Bombyx mori: one gene and its partners. The protein of the gene in region 2 purifies or fractionates together with the protein of the main gene of each other region. This does not show direct contact. Links are inferred from orthologs where the notes say so. Each region holds a gene or a part of one and is shown on either strand. Other genes may lie near its edges.

Evidence for each region. Proteins that work in one complex are often made in the same cells at the same time.
Region 1: the proteins of S-phase kinase-associated protein (region 2) and E3 ubiquitin-protein ligase ariadne-1 purify together in Homo sapiens (affinity purification with mass spectrometry; 4 studies listed by BioGRID and IntAct, with this or other methods). This does not show direct contact. The link is inferred for Bombyx mori from reciprocal best matches to the Homo sapiens genes SKP1 and ARIH1.
Region 3: the proteins of S-phase kinase-associated protein (region 2) and F-box/WD repeat-containing protein 9 purify together in Homo sapiens (affinity purification with mass spectrometry; 6 studies listed by BioGRID and IntAct, with this or other methods). This does not show direct contact. The link is inferred for Bombyx mori from reciprocal best matches to the Homo sapiens genes SKP1 and FBXW9.

The regions. Positions count from the first base shown.
Region 1 is NC_085127.1:9,586,992-9,591,474, reverse strand, and holds part of E3 ubiquitin-protein ligase ariadne-1, read left to right. Parts: intron 1-587; coding exon 588-656; intron 657-1,644; coding exon 1,645-1,731; intron 1,732-1,976; coding exon 1,977-2,105; intron 2,106-3,112; coding exon 3,113-3,283; intron 3,284-4,283; coding exon 4,284-4,480; intron 4,481-4,483. UniProt on the Homo sapiens protein: E3 ubiquitin-protein ligase, which catalyzes ubiquitination of target proteins together with ubiquitin-conjugating enzyme E2 UBE2L3.
Region 2 is NC_085119.1:7,149,960-7,154,002, reverse strand, and holds S-phase kinase-associated protein, read right to left. Parts: upstream 2,891-4,043; 5' UTR 2,744-2,890; intron 2,653-2,743; coding exon 2,164-2,652; 3' UTR 1,484-2,163; downstream 1-1,483. UniProt on the Homo sapiens protein: Essential component of the SCF (SKP1-CUL1-F-box protein) ubiquitin ligase complex, which mediates the ubiquitination of proteins involved in cell cycle progression, signal transduction and transcription.
Region 3 is NC_085111.1:14,057,600-14,062,082, reverse strand, and holds part of F-box/WD repeat-containing protein 9, read right to left. Parts: intron 3,054-4,483; coding exon 2,742-3,053; intron 1,889-2,741; coding exon 1,617-1,888; intron 1-1,616. UniProt on the Homo sapiens protein: Substrate-recognition component of the SCF (SKP1-CUL1-F-box protein)-type E3 ubiquitin ligase complex.

The DNA of each region.
Region 1 (4,483 bases), on a different chromosome or scaffold from region 2:
TGCAATTTTAGAGTCATTATATTATTTCTAACATTTTAAATAGTTTACAGTTTTTGTGATGACTAACCACTAAACTGTTATTTATTCAAATTTGAATATTGTGTTGGGAGTCATTTGGAAATATTATAATGACAATAAAAGTTTCAAGTTAAACCATAAAAGTAGTTTATAATTAATTTCTTATATCATCATTATTCCATGTTTTATTTATTTCTGTAACTACAAAGACAAATTATGAAATAATCACCGTTGTTATTATGTACAGTACTGTTTAAATGTAATACTTGGATGGAATTTTTTTGTAAATGCCAATCCTTCTTTTTGTTTTGGACTGGGCCCGATCCTCTTATGAGATAACTGGCTGTTAACGTCAATCCTAACTGTAGACTTTTTTATTTACTGGTAACAGTGCGATTTACCCACTATAAGCTTTATGTGTCCATTATTATTTCTCTTTGCTCTGCAGAATACAGTGTTCATTCAAACGTATAGCTCATCAATGTAATCAAATGCAAGGTTTTTTTAATTTTGCTGTACAGTTTACACTTTTTATTTAGATATTTCCTTACTAGTTTTTTTATTTTCAGCTTCCCAGGAGGATATCAACGTCTGGTATGGAAGAATGTGAAATATGTTTCTCAGTTTTACCAACCTCTGTAAGTTTGACAAATATTTTTAGGGCCTGAAAATGTTTTTCATTATCATTGATCTGTTGATGAATTCACGGCTAGCGTTAAGTGGTTGCGAGAACCCATAGATGTCTTGTTTCATGTCCTAATCTGAAGAAATGAGGTTGAAGTTTAACTTTGTATAAAGGCTACATTATTAATCAAATCAGAATGCATTGTTGACTTATGGCAGAAATAGAATCACTATATGAACAATGTAAACAAGCTCACTGCCCATCTGGTTTTAAATAGTGGCGAATACACATCACAATGTGAATTCCACCAGACACCTTTAGATATGTCGAAATCTTAATTATCCAATCCTTCAAGCTGAAAAGTCAGATGCCATATTATTATGCTTCATAGTAGAAACATAGAATGGTATCCTATAAGTGTGGGCTATAAGTGCCTATAAGTGTGTAGGGATCCACCCTACCTACAATAAATGACAGTGACAATGAGCGGTCACAGTATACTGACTGCTATGAAACTAGAAACACCGCTACTCATTCTCTGTGGAAAATGTTAGTTGGTACTGCTGGGTGTGGAAAGGAGGAGTTGGAGTGTTACTATTCTAGGCCACGCCCCTAATCTTGGTGGTTACTGCCGCTCACTGATACTGGTGATATCACTAGCAAAGTCAGTCACGAAACTATTGGAAAGGCTTAACACCGCGTAAATTAATGCTTGCTGAAAATACATAACCTCATTATTTTTTTGCACCTTTTAGTAACATCTCGGCAATGTAACACTTCTCACGCGTGGTACGGTAAATAAGTGATGATGGCCTCGTTTCAAACGGGGTCATTTTTAAGCCACACACGTGTATTTATCAATTTATTAAATTATCGAAGATTAGATCATAAATTTTGAAGGCGCTTAAAAGCCCTATAGTTATTGTTCATTTTCCAATTTCCATTTGATGAACATACGACATTATTTAAGTATATTTATATTAATTCTTTTACGTTTTCAGATTATGACTGGGTTGGAATGTGGTCACAGATTTTGCACGCAATGCTGGTGTGAATATTTAACTACGAAAATAATGGAAGAAGGCTTAGTGAGTAATCATGGATATGCTTCTCAGTGACTTGTGATTGTGTCAACTGTGTTACTACCGCTCTGTAGTTTATTGACCTAATATCCAGATAAGCGAAAACAGTACCTACGCATTTGTTTACCGTATTTTTTATCCTTTGTATTTTTTAATTATTTTTTTTTGTATTTCAGTATCGAATTGTTTTGTCTACTGGATTCAAGAAGGATTTTCTTGTATGAATTTACAGTATTACGATTTTGTTTCAGGGTCAAACAATAGCTTGTGCCGCTCACGCCTGCGACATACTTGTTGACGATGCGACCGTGATGCGGCTAGTACGAGACTCTCGTGTTAAACTTAAATATCAACACATTATAACGAATAGTTTTGTGGAGGTGATGATTTTAATTTATACTATCAAATATAGAGTGTATTGAAAACGTTCGGAAATGGAGAGGTTGTATCTGTAAACGTACAATCTCTTTTTTTATGAATTATGTTGCATTACTCATGATGTCTCTTTTTAAAATCGAAAGGTTTGTGCTGTATCTTCTCGCGAAATAAAGTGAGACGTTCTCCAAATGGCGTAAACAAACATTGCATAAAACAGTATTCATGTTCAGTTTCCTTTAAAGCCATCTCACTTCTTTATCTTATTAATTTTTCTTTCAAAGATGTTAAATTAATAACATTCTTTATCAATTTATCTTTAACATCTTTGTACATAACTTGTAATGTTGATGAGGAAATATCAACAGTAAAATAATATTACAAATTATAATGGACAAGAGAAATTTACGAGATAATATTTTTAAAATTATATAAATTATCGTTTTACTGGTGGTAGGACTCCTTGTGAGTCCACACGGGTAGATACCACCGCCCTGTCTATTTCTGCCGTGAAGCAGTAATGCGTTTCGGTCGTCCACCCGTCTAACCAATAAAAAAAAAAGTGTGGTGTCGTGGGACACCGGATAGGAACGAAGTTCCTTATTATATAAATATTAATTTAAAGTTCTATTCGAGGTATAAAGAAAATAAAACTGGAGGTTTCGCAACAACCCACGGCCATTTGGTAACGTGCGAACTTATTGTGGTACACTTCATTCACGGTTGTTTGCATAAGAGTTAGTGTATTGCGCAAACGAACGCTCTGAGATCGTGGTCAATGAATGATAAAAAAATTTAAGTCGTACACTGTGTGCATTACTAATAAAAATCTTACGTTACGGTCGTTTTTTCCCGGTTAGGGTACCCCTCCGCATCGTCCCATAAGGAACTTCGTTTCGAAAAAACCCCACAATTGGATGCCATATTATTAAAGATAGATGTTTTTGTTTTTGTACTGAAGAGTATGAGCAATAAAGAGTATTATTTTGTAACGTGGTGTCCGCGTCGACAGTGCAACCGGCTGCTGCGCTGGTGCCCGTCCCCGGACTGCAGCAACGCGATCAAGGTGGCGTACGTGGAGGCGGCGCCGGTGACGTGCCGCTGCGGACACACGTTCTGCTTCGCCTGCGGAGAGAACTGGCACGATCCGGTCCGGTGCTGTTTACTGAGGAAGTGGATTAAGGTCAGTGATCCTGAAAATCTACGGAGGGACTTTGATTTCCTCTGTATTTTGTAAAATATGTTCCGTGGGGAGCGCTCTGCAGGGACGTCTTAAACTAGGATGGGGCCCTTGGGCACACAAGAATTTGAGGCCCTTTTGGAAAGTAAAAAAAGCGAATTATAATAACATTTTTTTACTGAGTATGACCATTTATTATAGGTAATCAAATACAGTATGATATAATATGTCATTAATGATATTAGAATGCTGCTGGTTTTTTGGTTACGATTTCGATAACGGTTTCTTTCGGGGTGTCTGTTGAGCAAAATCTTCTATTATAGGCATAGTATATCTTGTAATTCTGATTACTGATTCTGAAAAAAGGGTAAGATGCCCGAGAAAAATGTTTTGAGAATAAGCGTGTGAGATTAATTTTCGGTCTTTCGGGGCCCCCTGAGAATGGGGGCCCTGGGCACGGGCCCCGTGTGCCCTTATGGTAAAGACGGTATTGGTGCTCTGAGGAATTGTTTGAGACTTGTGGAGAGTATTAAGCGGTGGGCACCGGCCTGGTTTGGCATTGCTGAAGTCCATGGGCGACGGTTACCACCACCATCATCAGGTGTATGTATGCTCGTCTGCCTACTAAAAGGTAAATAAAAAAAAATGATAAAGATAAATTTATTGGCTTCGCCTGCGTTTATCTATCTATTGTATGTGTCAACGGAACTTTTCTACGTAATTTTTGCCAACTTCAAAACGAGTGATTAACTTGAAAATTTGCACACATGTCAAGAACCGATAACAATAAAGTAGTTTTGTTATTTTAGCTTAAAGACTGATCACCAGGATTTTGAAAAAATCTATATTTTTTTGTTATTTAAACGTATTTTTTTTAGGTTTTGAAACATTTAATTTCAAAATGTTTAAAACTAGATCAACTATAAAGACAAAAGAATGTGTTAATATTAGGTAACTATAAAAAAAAAGTATATAATAAAATACAGAGAGAATTTATTTATAGAAATGCGACGACGATTCGGAGACCTCAAATTGGATAGCGGCTAACACGAAGGAGTGTCCTAAATGCAACGTCACCATCGAGAAGGACGGCGGCTGCAACCACATGGTGTGCAAGAATCAGAATTGCAAGGCCGACTTCTGCTGGGTGTGTCTTGGACCTTGGGAGCCCCACGGCAGCAGCTGGTACAGCTGTAACAGGTA
Region 2 (4,043 bases):
ACCGCGGTCAACACTACAACCAGACGGCGCGGCTAACCCCAAGGACGCCCAGCCGACGGAGCCTTCGAGGCGAATCGAAGGCTCTGAAACGTCGGCCGTCTCGGTACGGCAGCCCGTCGGGCCGCCCAGACGGTGCCGCTGGTGTCCCGGAATACCCCGCTGGACCAAAACCAGCCTGCCGGGTCGGGACGCGATACACCGTCGACCGGTCGCTCTATTTACTGCTATATTGTTCCTGCTGTACATCAAGGGAGGTAGAGAGAAGATAGCAACCTCATACATTGGATAGCATTGGAGTAACACGCACATTTAGTTACGAATTAAGGAAAATATTGCAGATGTCAAACCCAACATAAGTCTGATTTATTTTAACATACTCTGGACAGTGCTAATAGTGAAATTTAACATGGCTCAATACACCCTAAACAATCCTTAATTCCATAAATAGCTCATGAAGCTATTGTAAATAAAAGGAAAAAAGGTTGGATCAGAAAAAAAGTAATCATCTGACTATTACATGAAACCCCAAGTCAAACAAACTATGAGACCTAAACATTATGTTCTATGAAAAGGAGAGAATAAATAATTGATAATTATTATTAATTATTTTTTTTCATTTGTAATGATATTTTATTATTAAAATAATAATGATTGTAAACAATAAATAATTGCCAATAAGATTTTTTTCATTACAAATTTTATAGTTTACTTGCACCTCTTATCCATGACCACAAAAACTGTTAGATTTTGAAACTGAAATTATAAATTGATAATAATATACTCAAGATAAACTGTAAAAGTAGTTTTTTAATTATAAAAATTACAATCCAACAAAAAATAATCACCTTTAAAATTTTGTTTTACATAGCATACAATGTAGCACAATATAAATTAAATTGCTGGAACTCACTTCCAGTTTCTTTTGAAAGAGGCAGACGGACATTTCTGACTATGGGTTCATATACTAAGCTTTAAAAGTAATTTTAATGACAAATATCTAAGAGGAAAAAATTGTTTCATATATATTATTTTCATTTGTTATGCTGATGGTTTAATTCTATCTTAGCATCAGGAACTGACTAAGGGAATGTGGTTATCAAATACATACATATACAGTGAAAATCTATTATAACAACATCGAAGGGACTGCTCATATTCAGTCGTAACAACCAGTGATGTTTAATGTGTATCGTGCAAGTACAAACAAAGTACAAACAAATCGATAGTGAATTATTGGAAAAATATATTTACACAAAACGCAATTTTTCTTTGTTATTAATTTGTTTTTTTTCTTTGCAACATTTTGAAAGTTTCACGAATAACTCCACAAAGTTTTGGTGTGTCTTGTGTATAGATAAGTAACAAACTAACTGAAAAGATATGAAGAAGTGGGCTTTGACTCTACCGCATACACATTTTTGTTTCTAAGAATTAGAAAAGACCCTACACTAAACAAAATCCTATTGTTTTCTTTCCTGATTTTAATAGCCATTGAAGACAAATGTGGATACCTATTCAAATTGTTTACAATACAGCTTAGCCGGTCGTTCTAACAGATCTAATTCTCCGAAATATTAGTTAAATGTGGTCATTTTATTAGGTATGTCGGTATTAGCAATGTCGTATAAAGCAATGTTTTTAATAAGGCGGTCATATAGCATTCAGCCGGGACCTTTGTTCTAGGTTATTATAACCAGCATGTTGCTCAAAATGATGTCGCAGTAAACGGTTGTGACTGTATATTTATTTACTTTTTGTATTGACATTGATGGTGACAAACTTATTTTTGTGGTTTAACATTGCAATGGATACTGGCAATTTCTGGACACAATCAAGACTACCCACACAATTAGTTAAAAAATAAGCAGATGACAAAAATTTAAGTCAGTGATTTATGCTAATTATTTCTATTTCATAAAGTAAATTTTCCAATAAATATAATACAATTAAAGTTAAATGAAAAGTAATTTAAATGATAATATGAAAATTTAAATTTTATTGAAAATCACAATGACATGATGTACCTATTTTTATATAATTTACAACACAAACAAATTTACTTGGTTTAAATTAATTATTCTTTATTGCCATGGGAAAAATAGTTTAATGTTGCATACATAGTGATAATACATAAAGATGCTTGCAAATAGCATTTATTATGGTTTACTTTTCTTCACACCATTCATTCTCTTTACGAACCTGATCTTCTTCTGCAGCAGTGAAATCATTCTTAATGTTGAACGTTTTACGGATTTCTTCAGGAGTCTTTCCTTTGATCATGTTTGCTACAGTTTTACATGTGACATCTAATAAACCCTTGATGTCCAAATAATTTGCAGCTAATATTAATTCAAAGAGTGTGCCTTGGTCAACTTTCAAAAAATCAGCATCCCATGATGATATGTCATCAGTCCTCTTTTCCTTGTTTTCGTCATCTTCTGGTAGCGGAGGATCGTCTTTATGATAAGTAGCCCACTGAATAACTTTTTTGAGTATTGCAGAATTGACATTAGGTAAAGGTACAACTTCCTCTTCATCCTCTTCCATGCCTAAGTCTTCTAGCATAGTTTTGATAGTTACGGAGCATTTGGCGATTTCAACATCAACAACGAAGACCTCGTTGTCTGATGATTGCAACTTAATATTTGGCATCTAGAACAAAAGAGCGGTGGGAACGTAAATCATAAAACGACGGCTGAGAATAAGACGCCATTTTCCAATTTATAAATAGCGAAGTATTTACCTTGTTTTTTCAAGTATTTGAATGTTCACAATTAAGTGAAATTTATTTATCTTCAAACGAAAATGCCCTTATGTTCTGGAGATTTTTCCTTAAACCCAAACAGTGAATCAATGAGTGAACGAATGAATAAAATCATTAATCAATTTTGTTTTTTTTTCTGCTTTCGTTTAAATTTTTCTAAGGGATTTTATGACCTGGTAACTAAGACCTTTAGGTCATGTCTTTTTTTAATTTATATTCAGATTTTTATAAATTTTTTATTATGGAGTGAAATGAAATGAAGATGATTAATTTGAGACATTAATCAACTGGGATGAAATTAAATGAAATGAGTTGATATGGTATGAAATATAATCTCAGTAAAATGGTGGTTATTTACTAAGATTTTTTCAGTGGACTTTTTGGAGGAACTCGAGAAGTTACGTCCAGCAGCTTTGTTTCATTTTCCCACTTTTGTGCACTTTCACAGATATTAAACATTTAATAAACCACCGTTATTACACATTTAAACCTGAAGAAACACTAAATAGACAAAATAAAACAAATCACACAACTTCACTCCTCGCGCTCCCGCCAAAAGTACCTCCAACACCAATTGTTTTTTAAGGGATTTTATGACCTCATAACTAAGACCTTTAAGTCATGTCTTATTTTAATTTATATTCTTATTTTTATGAAAAATGATAATATGGAGATAAATGAAATGAAATGAAGATGATTAATTTGAGAAATTAATCAACTTAGATGAAATTAAATGAAATTTGATGATATGGGATGAAATATGATCTCAGTAAAATGGTGGTCATTTACTGAGATTTTTTCAGTAGACTTTTTAGAGGAACCCGAGAACTTACGTCCAGCAGCTTTGTTTCATTTTCCCACTTTTGTGCACTTTCACAGATATTAAACAGTTAATAAGCCACCGTTATTACATATTTAAACCTGAAGAAACACTAAATAGACAAAATAAAACAAATCACACCACTTCACTCCTCGCGTTCCCGCCAAAAAGTCCCTCCAACACCAACATTCATTTCCCACCATAGATACACACTTAGTTTCCCACACAACTAAAAAAAAAAAGAAACTTGTGAATGGAGTAAAGAAGAAATCTAATATATAAAATTCTCGTGTCACAGTTTTCGTTGCCATACTCCTCCGAAACGGCTTGACCGATTTTGATGAAATTTTTTGTGCTTATCCGGTATCTATGAGAATCGGCCAACATATATTTTTCATCCCCCTAAATGTTAGGGGTAGTCCACCCCTAAATTTTTATTTTTATTTTTTAGACAAAATT
Region 3 (4,483 bases), on a different chromosome or scaffold from region 2:
AATAATGTATTGTCAATAACATGGGATCCCGTGCTAGACTCTGCGAAGCAGTGACCTTGCTAGGACCAGTGTTAGCAAGCTCTATCAGGTTGAGCCTATGACCTCACCTACCAGCTGTAATATTCAGTTACCATTCATTGATTAGGTAGGAAAAAAATTACACAGGCCTCAGTAAAAAGTATTCCAACAAAAGGTCATCGGATTTTTTGCCTCATACAAAGTGGAGTGAATAAAATTATATATTTTTTTCCAATGTAAATGACTGACCCAATTTGAGAATACAAGAAATAGCGAAAACCACACGTCTTCTAAAAGCCGATCTTTTATAAACAAAATATGTTAAATAATTTGGTTTAAACTAGTCCAAATGCCAAATGTAATAACTTCGACCTCTCGCCTAACAAAAGTATCTCTATGCTTGGATAACGGAAATATGGGATTCGAAAAGGGCAATAAAGACTAAGTAGCTTGGACATCCTTTGACTAGCTAAATGAGGAATCCGTTGCGTTGCCGGAGCGTCTCGTTACGCTCAAGTGCCTGTCAGAAAACTAGCAACAGAGGGTGTTGTAGTGAGAAGGAATGATTTTAGTTTAAACTATCGACCCGCCCTCGCTTCGTTTCGGAAACATTAAATTTTATAATTGATAGCTGAGTCCCGCGATGTTACCCACGGTTATTGTCGTATTGACGCCGCGGGGCGAAGCTAGTCTAAAGAAAGTAGCCCAAGTTACTCCTTATATCATCAGCTACCTATCAGTGAAAGTCTCGTCAAAATCTCAGCGTCCAGCCGTTCCAGAGATTAGCCGGAACCAACAGACAAAAATTGTAAAAAATGTTATTTGGGTGTATGTACCGTATTCATATGCATGTAGTAAAAAGCGGTTATTTCAATATTAGAAACAGACACTTCAATTTTATTTATATGTATAGATTGACGGTAAATAATGAATTCAATTAAAAACTATTTTTAAATTACATACAAAAAACTAAATTTTCAACTGTGATTCCTGGTATTATTATTATAAAAATAAAATCACAATTGATACACTCTACATATTTACCAATATCTTCAAGACTGCAGGGAATGTAACATAATTAGAACAAGCGACCCATGGAATCATTTACTGATGATAGGGCGTCTTGTGAACCCACACGGGTAGGTACCATCACCGGGTAGGTATCATGCATTTTAGCTAGAAGGGTGGGGAGCCCATTATACAGTAAAAACTGAGACTTAGCACTCATGTCTCAAGGTAGGCAAGGCAGTATTAACAAGGTAGGCAAGGTAAGGGTTGATATCTGTGAACTCAGGTCACCACTTAACCAGGTGAACCAGGTGGGTAATGAGCTCGTCCACCATTATTAGTAGCAATAAACAAATCATGCATGACCCTGTTAACATCAACTAATGTGCAATTTTCTACTTTTTAATTTACATTATTTATTACTCCAGACACATTTTCTTACATTATTTATTGTTAGTGTGTAAGACAACACAGTTATTATTAGTGTTAGGCTTTTGATCAAAGACGTTTTTACATTATTCAAGCCTGTTGATTCACATTCCAATATTAATTAGTACAGGAGATAAAAATACTTTTTATAATATTCTTACTGAAATGTTTGGATACACTGAAATCCAGTAGCTAAGTCCCATGCTTTCACAGTATTATCCCAAGATGCAGAATAAACTTTGGAAGCGGAGTTCACAACATCTGCTGCCAAGTCCCATACCCAGCCTGCATGAGCATCATGTCTTAAATGTTTTGGTTTGGTGTCCGTTAGTGATGTTACTCCGTCATTTGTTTCACTTTTTGCACTAATGTCCGAAACATTCCACAACGCCATTCCTCTATCCCTACCTCCTGATATACACAATTCTCCATTCTGAAATTCAAACATAAACTTTTAAAATTGGTACAATTAAGTGACATTATAAGCAGATCAATATCCAATTATTATTTTTTCATCATCATCTGTTAATCCAAACATCTCTAGGTGAACTGCAGAATTCATATTGGGATATCACAGTTGTGTCGTGAGTTTTTACTGATGCCATGATTTCTATTGTGAAACGGTAATGTGTTTCAGTTTCATTACATGCTAATGTTTCATGTCTCAAAGTGGGTGGCAGCATTTATGTTTTGATTTCAGTAGCTGCTGATATAACCGCTTAACATCAGGGGTGGAGTGAGCTCATCCATCCATCCATATAACCAATGAAACAAGAGCTTCTCTATCTATCTTAGTTTAAATATAACAATAAGTTATGAATACCTGCTTTATTTTACTTTTTTTACATTACTTTATTTTCAGATATCGTAATGCATCATGTGTTAGTACAATTAAAACATTGACTATGCTAATAATAAACTATATATAATTATAATTGCTAGTTTTTTAAGTATAGTAATATATTGAAATAACTAACACATAATCTATTACATGTTGATAGTAGTATTATAGTAAAAATCAATCCTGAAGTGTGCCTTTTTTTCTCCTACCTATTCACTGGTAGCCTAAGAGGGTATTCTAGATACGCCCAGACAGGTAGGTGAGCTCACTAGCTCAACCTGAGAATTTGCCAACACTAGCTCAGGCAAGAGTACTGCAGAATCTATCACTCAATCGGAATCATGACCCACTGTGGCAGTAACCCCTTTTCATAAGCTGTAAACTGCTTGCTAAGGCCATAAAAAATTAAAAATATATTAATTTTCAATCAAGATTAGCAACTTACATTCACTAACAACACAGCATCAACTGATGCAAAATGTACATCTTTTACAACCATATGTTTCATGGTTTCTTCAACATTACACCAAGTTTTCTTTTCTACTTCCATTGCAATATATAAATCCTGCCAGTCTGCAGGATCAACATTCCATTTTTTTAAATCACCTACTGGGGGAAATTTTCCCTTAATTTTATTCTGTACCCAATGCTTCCATAGTTGATCGTCGGCTAGTATGTCACAAAACCGTAGACACACCTTACTGAGTGTATTTTTGAGAAAATATGCATCCAAAAATGAACATATTTGTAGGAAAATCTGAAATTTTAGTACAAATGTGTTCTAAGAATAGATTTCATAAGAAGATTTTACACAACATTTATCATGTTTAATTCTAGGGTCGGCAGACTAAAGCACATAAGTCAAAATTTTCAATTTATTTTTTATTACATCATCGGTTTACATTTTGCTCAACACACAATCTGACTAAAGCACATAAATCAAACTCGAGTATTTCATGGTGTATTCAAGCGGCGTTCTGTATCAACCTTATTAAATCCTAATATAATCAAACGAACTAAAAAACATAACTGGACTTATGTTCTAAGGAACACCATAAGTACAAAGTTATTAACGTAAGAAGTCTGACTTACGTTATAAAGAACATCAAAATGTAACATTTCTTTAGAGAAAGTAGTTACTTAAAAATATTTATAACGTAAACAATACTTCGGTAAGTGGTTTTAATTTACTAATGTTGTCGATTGTGCACAGTTTGTTGGTTAGTTAGTTGTGTTAGTTAGTTGTGTGTGAGTGCTTAAGTATTTTAATTATTTAAGATGAATATTCAAAGAGGCAAGAAATTAGTTGAAATGGCGTTATCCACTCATCTGGAAAGCAATGAAGGTATATTTTCACATATCTTCAAAATTATGATTTGCAAATTACGTAATTATATCAATATTATATCATTATAAATAGATAATTGCCTTGTCCTTTTTTAGAAAATGTAAATCAACAGTCGATTTTGAACACAGAGAACTTAGTAGTAGACGATCCTATACTGTCAACATCATCAGGTCAAGTCAGTAGTTTAACATACTATTCTGTACTTGAATTCTCTAGTGATGATTCTGTACGAGATCCATGTTATGAATTACCGAGACTTCCAACCACATCAAGTTCAAAGTCCTCCTCCGTGCGTCGTATTCCTCAGTTCTGAGGGTCGTGACCTTTACTGAGCACTTTTGTCAGGACTTTGTTCTTCCATTCACTTCTGTCCTCCGCGCAGTGGATAGCGACATTGATGCTGGATTCCAAAGTCGTCTTAATCTGATCGGACCAGCGCATGGGACTACGCCCCCTAGGCCTCTTTCCTTCCACTTTCTAAGATCCTACGTAGGCAAATGGTGGAGAGTCTTAAGGAGACGCCTAGTTCTTCCAGGATTGATGCGTTTGTCCGATGCGCCATCCAGGGAATCCGCAGCATTTTCCTCCAGCACCACATCTCAAACGCGTCGATCCGACTTCGATCAGCCTTCTTCAGAGTCCATGTCTCCGCCCCATATAAGAAAATAGAAAACACAAGACTTGTTACAAGTTTACGCTTGGTTTTTATGGAGATGTTTCTATCGGACCAGATGCTATCAAGCTGAGACATGGCAGTTTTTGCTATCCCGATACGTCTTCGAATCTCAGGCTCGCACGATCCAGTATTCGCAATCATGGAGCCCAGGTATATGAATCTT